Linked DNA regions of Arabidopsis thaliana. The protein of the gene in region 1 interacts with the protein of each later gene in a pairwise test. Each region holds a gene or a part of one and is shown in the gene's direction. Other genes may lie near its edges.

What was found.
Region 2: the proteins of AT1G62975 (region 1) and AT1G72570 interact in a two-hybrid assay, tested with the Arabidopsis thaliana proteins (one large-scale study listed by BioGRID).

Annotation. Positions count from the first base shown.
Region 1 is NC_003070.9:23,326,483-23,331,343, forward strand, and holds AT1G62975 (basic helix-loop-helix (bHLH) DNA-binding superfamily protein), read left to right. Parts: upstream 1-2,244; 5' UTR 2,245-2,418; coding exon 2,419-2,736; intron 2,737-3,268; coding exon 3,269-3,670; coding exon of another isoform or gene 3,671-3,694; exon of another isoform or gene 3,695-3,980; coding exon 3,981-4,040; 3' UTR 4,041-4,330; downstream 4,331-4,861.
Region 2 is NC_003070.9:27,329,414-27,334,218, forward strand, and holds AT1G72570 (Integrase-type DNA-binding superfamily protein), read left to right. Parts: upstream 1-1,967; coding exon 1,968-2,055; intron 2,056-2,150; coding exon 2,151-2,748; intron 2,749-2,927; coding exon 2,928-3,010; intron 3,011-3,136; coding exon 3,137-3,145; intron 3,146-3,301; coding exon 3,302-3,390; intron 3,391-3,620; coding exon 3,621-3,694; intron 3,695-3,797; coding exon 3,798-3,848; intron 3,849-3,949; coding exon 3,950-4,026; intron 4,027-4,106; coding exon 4,107-4,285; downstream 4,286-4,805. Other genes in the region: PSD (ARM repeat superfamily protein), read right to left, coding at 1-54.

The DNA of each region.
Region 1 (4,861 bases):
ACTAATTCGTCATCACTGATCACATACAAATCTATGATTCTGTAGGTGCATGAAGATCAAAATGGACATGCAAATAAGGGACCCCATTTACCAAAATGTCAGACCTAATCCTGACCACATTTAATATATTAATTACTTCACTAACAATTATTGCAAACCATTCAATGGTTTTTTGAGTGTCCACGTTATCATCTGCAATTACACTCCTTAATTATTGCGCGTCATTACTATTAATTAAATACAAGAATCTTACTTAATCTCCTTTTCACTATACTAATAAACCTTTACAAAAGATTTGTGTTTTCTCTTTAGTCTAAGTTTAACTTCAAATTCAACTAAGCTGTCACATAATTTGTATCTGCCGACTTAAACTTGATGGCTCGTTTTATTTGTAATGAAAATATATTAAAAAAAAAACATGTGCCATAATAAGTCGATAACCTCAAAACTAAGAATTATTTAAAGTTTTTGAAATAAAAATCAGTCAGTCATAATATTAATTTCACAAATAATGAGTTAATAAAGTTTATTTGATTAAATTATTTATGGTAATTAACTACACCTTATCATGTATACAATAAATACATGTCAATCTTCTTATATTCAATTAAATGTGGAAAATAAAATCAAGAAACCTTGACATAACTACTCAAAATAAATGATGAAGAGATGACATTAACAATTGGTAGCAACAACAATATACTAATAATTGACACAAATCAATAATCTTCGGTCTTCGTTCAAAAACAGTAAATGTTTGGTCCAAGAGAAGAAATACAGTTTGGTCCATCAATGCTGCACGAGCTAAGCAAATATTCAGCTAAGATCCGAAATCTGAACTCTAGCTGTGTTAAGTACTCTTTGTTTTAAAATATACTTCCTACGTTCTAAATTAAGTGTCATTTTACATATATACTAAATTTTGTTTTAAAATAAATGTTGTTTTATATTTGTAATGCCGACTTTTGATCAAAGTTACAACTGAATCTATTGATTTAGTGAATTGACGGTTATTTTTTGTATATTGATAAAAAGTAAAAAAAAAATGTTTCTTCTCTCCGTTTTAATTAATTTATCATTTTACCACTTAAATTTTGTCTCGTTGTCATTTTAGATCTTTAAGGCAAATGTTTGGTAAAAATTCCAGTTTTTTCCTCAAAGTTTTGATATCTTGACCAATTAAAACATTTAGAGAATATATTGAGTAAAAATAAAATAAAATTTAATTATTTTCTTAATTGATGTGCAAAAACCTTAAAAGACAAATACTTTAAAGCAGAGGAAGTATTTGTTTTCTTAATATTCTATGTATTATATCAAAACCTTATATGGCACTTATTAATAAATGGTGAGAGTATGGTGTTTTAGATAAAACACACACACTTTAAGAAATTTATCTTTTCTTTAACAACTATCATTTAATACTTGATTAAAGAAAATTCAATTAATTATATAAAAGACTGCAAAATACAAATATCCATTAAAAACAAATATATTTACAGTTAACATAGAAATCTGTAAAACATCATATATATAATGAAAAACAGAATCTCTAAAGTATCATATTATACTATAATAAAACAGATGGAGTATTTTTTGACCAGAAAAAAAAACTTTAAATTTTGTATATATCTTATATATGTAATTGAATACTGCTTGGAAATTCAAGTGAAGAGTCAATAACCAAAATAAAATCCATTTCAACATTTTGTGGAGAAATTTTTTACAACAGTAAGAAGGGAAATGACTTGATTAGTATATATAAATGATATGAGATAATCTTGTTATTAACCTTTGAGTTGGAACCATGAAACTTAACATAGTATTAGATTCTGAACAACATATGTTGTCTTGTTTCCGGTCGAAAAAATTGCCGACCATCCTACTAATTGATGGTCCAATAGAATTTTCAATTCCGTTGAGATAGATAGGATAGTATTATCAAAAATTTCATAAGAATTTGTAACATATCCATTTGTATGAATGTTTAAGTGTAAACATCTGTATATATTTTTATATGAAACCCATGGATTAAGAATTATTGTGAAGCTGAAATTTATTGGAGTTGAAAACTTAGGTGGTGTGTAATGAAGGTGAGATGTATATGTTCAAGCACATTTAAAACATACGTTCCCATTCTTATTTGACGTGATTATTAAATGGCCACTAAATGAACAGCGCAAAGTTTAATTTAATAGTATTATTACTATCATCTTTAATTTAATCCCAACTACTCATATTTTGTGGAGATTTTAGTTTCTTCGAGATCGATCACTAACCTATCATCACATCTGTCCAATTAAAGAGGAGAAGAAACAAATCTTGGAGGCAAGTATAAAGAGCCTCACAAGCCAGAAAGTCACAACACTACAAGAAAAATCAAACCAAATTAAAAGTACTCATAGATATCAAATTCCAATGGATTGTGTTCCTTCATTGTTTATGCCTGATTCAACCTACGAAGATGGATTACTATTTTCTGATTCTTTTCTTCTTTCTCCGTTTATATCATACCAAAACAATGATGTTTTCCATTCGATCACAAACAAAATTGGTGGAAGCAATAAGAAACGAAGTTTGTGTGATATAACATATGGTGCGAATGAAGCCAACAAAAATGATGATGATCGAGAGAGCAAGAAGATGAAACATAGAGACATTGAAAGGCAAAGAAGACAAGAAGTTTCATCTCTTTTCAAAAGACTAAGAACTCTCTTGCCATTTCAATATATCCAGGTAAGTTATCTAGTGGGAGATATTTCATTATGATTAGCTTGAGAAATATTTTATATTTTTATCTCTATATATAGTCCTTAATTACATACTAATTTACAAAACCATTTCATTTGTTAAAGTGCAAGCGAGCAGTTTTCTTTCCATTGAAAAGGAAAGTATATAGAGAACCTTAGTTTTGAAAGCTTTTACTAACTATTCGATCATTCATGCTTTCGTATATACTTTTAAAACAATTTTTTTACATAATTAAATCTTTCGTATATATATTGTGGTACCACTTTATACATAGAATTAGAAACTCTTACACATTCGTATTAATATCTAAAATATATAAATTGAAATTTTGACAAATAGTTTTTTTTTTCAACGTAGTGTAATACTCGAATTTTGGATACCACATCAAGGAAACATCTTCTTAAACTGATGAGTTCATTCTTTTTTCTTAACACTAGTTAATATATCCAAGTACATTCTTGAATCAAATAATTGCTAGTTAGTTGTTCTAAGCATGACCATATCATTTAACATACAGGGTAAACGCTCGACATCAGATCACATCGTGCAGGCAGTGAACTACATCAAAGACTTACAAATCAAAATCAAAGAACTCAACGAAAAGAGAAATCGGGTAAAAAAAGTCATATCGGCCACAACTACTACTCATTCAGCTATAGAGGAATGCACCAGTAGTTTATCATCATCAGCAGCATCAACACTATCATCAAGCTGCTCATGTGTAGGAGACAAACACATTACTGTTGTGGTCACACCTTGTTTAGTTGGTGTTGAGATCATCATAAGTTGTTGTCTCGGACGAAACAAGTCTTGTCTCTCGAGTGTTCTTCAAATGTTAGCTCAAGAACAAAGGTTCAGTGTAGTTAGTTGCCTCTCAGCTAGACGGCAACAGAGATTCATGCACACCATTGTTTCGCAGGTAAAATTGTTACTAAAAATATAAAGAGAAAAGGTTACAAGAATTTACAAACTTTTGGGTCTATCATAGTTGCTAATATCAGTTTTTAGTTCACATACCATTTTATTTGCTAATTTCTATACAAATTATAATCTGTTTGTAAACTACTTTTGTGGTTATCAAAAATACAATGAATATACTTACCTGAAATTAGAATTAGATAAATAAATTACTAATTTTCTAAAAAAAAGTTTTAGTGTTTGATCTTTTCTTGCCTTAATTTTCTAAAAACAAAATTGACACTAATCATCATTTCATTTCAAATTTTCAGGTGGAGGATGGCAAACAGATCAATATTTTGGAGCTTAAGGATAAAATAATGACTATGTAGCCCCATGTACAAGAAGAAAATTAGTTACTATGACAAATGAAAATATTACGTGGTTTGAAATTGGAATTTTACTGAATTTCAATGTATGCATTATTTGAGTTGTTAGATACTAAGATCATGCTATTTTAGTGTATCGGCTTACTTCTGAGTGCTTAGATTAATGTTACAAACTAATGCTTGTTTTTCATTTTTTTTTTTGTAAAATAAAGTTTGTTTTTCTTGGCATTCTAATTATGATATACTTCATTTTAATTACTATTATTAAATAGAAAATATATGATCGTTACAAGGGTGTATATATAGAATCTCTAAAATATGGATAAAACATCTCCAAACATATGCAAGTCCAATCTTAGTAAAAAGCTTAGGAAAAGTGGTAATTACAAGAAACATGAGAGATTCTTGACTGGCTAGTTGGAGATATGGAAATGATAATCAATTAGTCATTTGCTCAATAATTTCTTTGGGATTAAAATACCCTATTGGACAACAATTTTTCCATTAACATTCCTTTAAAAATCGGTCACAAGTGATTTTTTTGATAGATATAAAAATTGGGACCTTGCTAAACTTGTAACAAAATCATATCTTAACATGTTAGGTACGTTCATTTTTGAAATTTGAATGAATAATTAAAAAAATATAATTTGTAGCTTTCTTTAGATATCATCATATTCTTCAATAGATTTATAAGTTTTAGGAGAATGTCGACATTATCCTAGTTCGAAAATTGGTTGTGGAGAATAGTCTAATTGGTCTTTGGTCCGAATACGATACGTGGTGTCAAAACATATTCCCTCTCATAATATAACAAAAGAAAA
Region 2 (4,805 bases), 4.0 Mb from region 1:
ATCAACAGCACCAGTTTCAAAGCTAATTACTATTGCCTGTTCAAGGTCATCCATTGTGTTAACTTAACCCCACTACAAAAACCCTAAAAACCGAGATTTCAAAATCCAGTCCTGGTTTGTTGCATACAAGTCAAACAATGCCTTGAATTAGTATCGTCAGCTAGCTTCTCTCCTTCACTGTTCTCTTCCCTTATCAGATTTTGATGCGAAGAAGAAAAAGACGAAACTTTTAGTGGGTTTCGCTTGAGAGCTTACCAGAAAGTAAGGATCGTGGCGATTTTAGCGATCGGATTTATGAGAGTGGGAGATATAGTAGAAAAGGGATTATGGAAACCCTAGTTTGGGTTTCTCTTTGAATTCAAAGAATACTTTTTTTTGGTGAGTTTCTAGAAAATTTCCCTTACGGATTTATAAATATGAGGAAAATTGTGAGACTGGAGAGAAGACGGAGCTGTAGGGTTTTTTTTTTTTTATACACAGATTTTTATTAGCTTGCAGAATATTTTCCCAGAGAACTATAAATATTATTGCCAGCGAATTGAAAATTAACCGTCATCTGAATTCAGTAAATCAGCCCATGGGCTTGAATCTCTCTCACCTTAGGCCTTAGGTGTTGCATACTGATAGATTAAGATAGACATGTATAAATGTTTTGTGAGTTAGCAAATATAATGGTGTTTTTTCACTTTCTTAATCTAATGTTTTATAAAACAAATTGTCACATTAATACATATAACTAAACTACTTACTGTGAAATTATTCATGGAGACAACTTCTGTAGCTAAGACCTCTCGATTTTTATTTTGTATACTACAAACTAGGTAATTGTAAGAAAAGGTTTGTTCTGTAATGGCATTGTCGATTACCTCGTAGAAGAGGTTGGAATATTTCCGATGCCCGTAGCAAGATATAAAATCACAAATTCATTTTTCAGTTGTTAAAGAAAACAATTGTGGCTTTTTGTGTAGAACGACATTTCGTTATGTGGGTGGCGAGTATGGACAAACTACCCACTAAGTCTTGGTTAACAGCTTGGAACACAATTTCATTTTCTATCTATAAGCAACATATGCAATATAATCAACCAAATAAGAGAGATCACTTATTCTTTTGTTCTATCATATTTTGTGTGTCTGTTTTCAAAGGTTATACCGTCACATTATCCGCTTCTCACACTTGAGGCAAATTTTATGAGTTAGATAGCATATTGCCAAACACTCCAGCTATATATATCTTTTATCTTTTAGATTGATCTTTGTCTAATCTGCGAAAACAGCAAGATCATTTCAGGCTTCTCCATCACAGTTAGAATCATTTTCAAACGGATCGATTGAATGAGCAATCAAAAACACATTTTTATCGTCTAAGGAGAAATTTCCTTGCAATACTACTAATTTTAGTACAAATTTTGTTTACTTTTAAATTATGTAATGTTCTTTAAGTTTATTAAAAAATATCCCAAATTATATCGAAAGAAAGACATTAATAAAAGAAATGTATTATTGTCTAATTAACATATTTCGAAAGAAACAAAATACTGACTTTTTTAAGCGCTACTGTGTGCTTTTTTTACGGAAAAGTTAATCAAATACCAAAGAACGAAAATTTTCATTGTAGTGTGTCATGTGTATCTCCCATATATATATACGTATACATCGAAAAGATCCGAGGGAGAGTGGGCACAAAACTCTAGAAGTCAGATGCAAGTGTGTGTGAAAGAGAATGTGAAAGAGTGAGGGAGAGAGAAACTTCCTCTTCCTTTCTTTCATGCTTACGACAAAACTTCACCGCCACCTGTTTTGTCTCAAATCTTTTTTCCACCTTTTTAATTATATAATTTATTAAATGTTTTAGACTTATGAAAAATATTAATGTATATTCGCACGTATGAGACTACAAATCATATAAAACGAAACCCTATACATATAAACTAAGAGCGAGAAAGACAGCTAGAGAGAGAGAGAGAGATGAAGAAATGGTTGGGATTTTCATTGACACCTCCTTTGAGAATCTGCAATAGTGAAGAAGAAGAACTTAGGCATGACGGTTCCGATGGTACTCTCTTCTTCACACATCATCCCCCTGGTATATATATGTTGTTGGTGTGGCCACTATTAATATTCTTAATTTGATTTCTATTTTATGTGTAGTTTGGAGATATGATATTAACTTTGATCATCATCATCATGATGAAGACGTTCCAAAGGTGGAAGATCTCCTCTCAAACTCTCATCAAACCGAGTATCCTATAAACCATAACCAAACCAATGTCAACTGCACCACTGTGGTTAACAGGTTAAACCCACCCGGTTACCTTCTCCACGACCAAACCGTAGTTACACCACATTACCCGAACCTAGATCCGAACCTTAGCAATGATTATGGAGGTTTTGAGAGGGTCGGTTCGGTCTCGGTTTTCAAATCTTGGTTAGAGCAAGGCACTCCAGCATTCCCACTCTCGAGTCATTACGTTACTGAAGAGGCTGGTACGAGCAATAATATTAGTCATTTTAGTAACGAAGAGACTGGTTATAACACCAATGGCTCAATGCTATCATTGGCTTTGAGCCATGGGGCTTGTTCTGATTTGATCAACGAATCGAATGTATCCGCACGGGTCGAAGAACCGGTTAAGGTAGATGAGAAGCGGAAGAGATTGGTTGTTAAACCTCAGGTAAAGGAATCCGTTCCTCGGAAGTCGGTTGATAGTTATGGACAAAGAACTTCTCAGTATCGTGGAGTTACAAGGTACGTACGTTATTAAATAATGACGTCTCAAACATTTGTTTTGGTTTAAATGATGTCTCAAACTTACACGTAAGAAAAATGTGAATGCCACAATTATGTTACTTATGTATATTTGTCATTTTATTTTGTAGATTATGTATAATTGTGTCGACACATATTTATGTTGTGCGTGTATACAGGCATAGATGGACAGGGAGATATGAAGCTCACTTATGGGATAATAGCTGTAAGAAGGAGGGACAGACAAGGAGAGGAAGACAAGGTCAGAAAAAACAAATACAAAATAATTTTCCGATTCAATATGCTATCATGCATCAATAATCTTACTAACAATTATTTAATTTTGGCTTCGTATGTACTTTCGAATTCGCTTCTTGATCAATCACAGTGTATCTTGGTAAGCCAGAACTTTATTTTACAACCTATTATGCATGAGATCCCTCGTTCATTTCTTGTTGCCCTATTTTTGGCCTTCGAAGTAAAAATTAACCTTGTTACCTTCTGATAATTATAGAAAAACATTTAATAGTAGAATTAATACTTACTAAAATAGGAGGGTATGATGAGGAGGAGAAAGCAGCGAGGGCATATGATTTAGCGGCTCTGAAGTATTGGGGTCCTACCACTCACTTAAATTTCCCTGTGAGTTTGATCTTTCTGGTCCCGTACCTAGCTCCACTTCTAACTCCTTTATTACATGCAAGTGTGTTTTATATATGTACACTTATATACATGCAACATAACAGTTTCCATACTTATTTCGATATTTTGGATCTTGAATGTAATCATTTTCCGATTTTATTGACTTGATTTTGATGGAACTACATAGATTTGGCTTGTGATATCAGTTCCTTTGACGCTCTTTTATTCAGTTGAGTAATTACGAAAAGGAGATCGAGGAACTCAATAACATGAATCGGCAAGAATTTGTTGCCATGTTGAGGAGGTAATTACTCAACAGTGGGTTTGTAATGATATTTATGGACCTTATATAGTCATATGCATTTAACCATTAACAAACGCTTTGTAATTACATATCATAATCATAGGAATAGCAGCGGGTTTTCGAGGGGAGCTTCCGTGTATAGAGGAGTTACAAGGTTTGATTTGGACATATATGTGAAACTTGTATATATTTATATATGTACATGTACATGCATGGAATTAGATCATGATGATCATGCATGTATAACTCATGTAGGCATCATCAACATGGAAGGTGGCAAGCCAGAATTGGAAGAGTTGCTGGAAACAAGGACTTGTACCTTGGAACATTTAGTATGAACCACTTCTATACATATGGAATTATATCATAGCCTTTGAATTATTAAATATCACATTTTGTAACTATGATGAAGGCACGCAAGAAGAAGCAGCGGAGGCGTACGATATCGCGGCAATTAAATTCAGAGGCCTAAACGCTGTAACCAATTTCGATATAAATAGATATGACGTGAAGAGGATATGTTCAAGCTCAACGATTGTTGATAGCGACCAGGCCAAACATTCTCCCACCAGCTCTGGCGCCGGCCACTAACCGACACCGTAAACTCCTCGCCGGAGAGACTATTCCCACGTACGGTTGGTTTGAGGAAATAAGTTCGTCCAGTCTGTTTAATCATTTATGGTTTAATAAACATATATTCCTAAGTAATTGAGGCCGGTCTACATATATACAACTTTTTTAGCAAATTAAGTTATCAGAATCCACTATATATTATTCTCTATGATATACTTTGATTAAATTTCGTTTTTATTTTTAATTGAAAAAAGTTAATGCATTCATTATTTACAGGATCCATAACATAAGTGTTAATTAATTAGTATATATTAACTGCACCAAGTTGAGGAGAGGCGATTCCTCAATTTGTGTGCCTTCTTCTGTCGTGGTCGTACTTTAAGGAAAAGCGTTACAAATTTAAGTGAAACTTATTTAACTCATAATCAAATCCATCCAAGCCTTTGATAGTTTGATTAATTTTGAACCCGTATCGAGCTAATTCCCTCATGCCATGGTGAAAATAATTGGTGTCAATGGAAATTTGAAGGTTTCTATG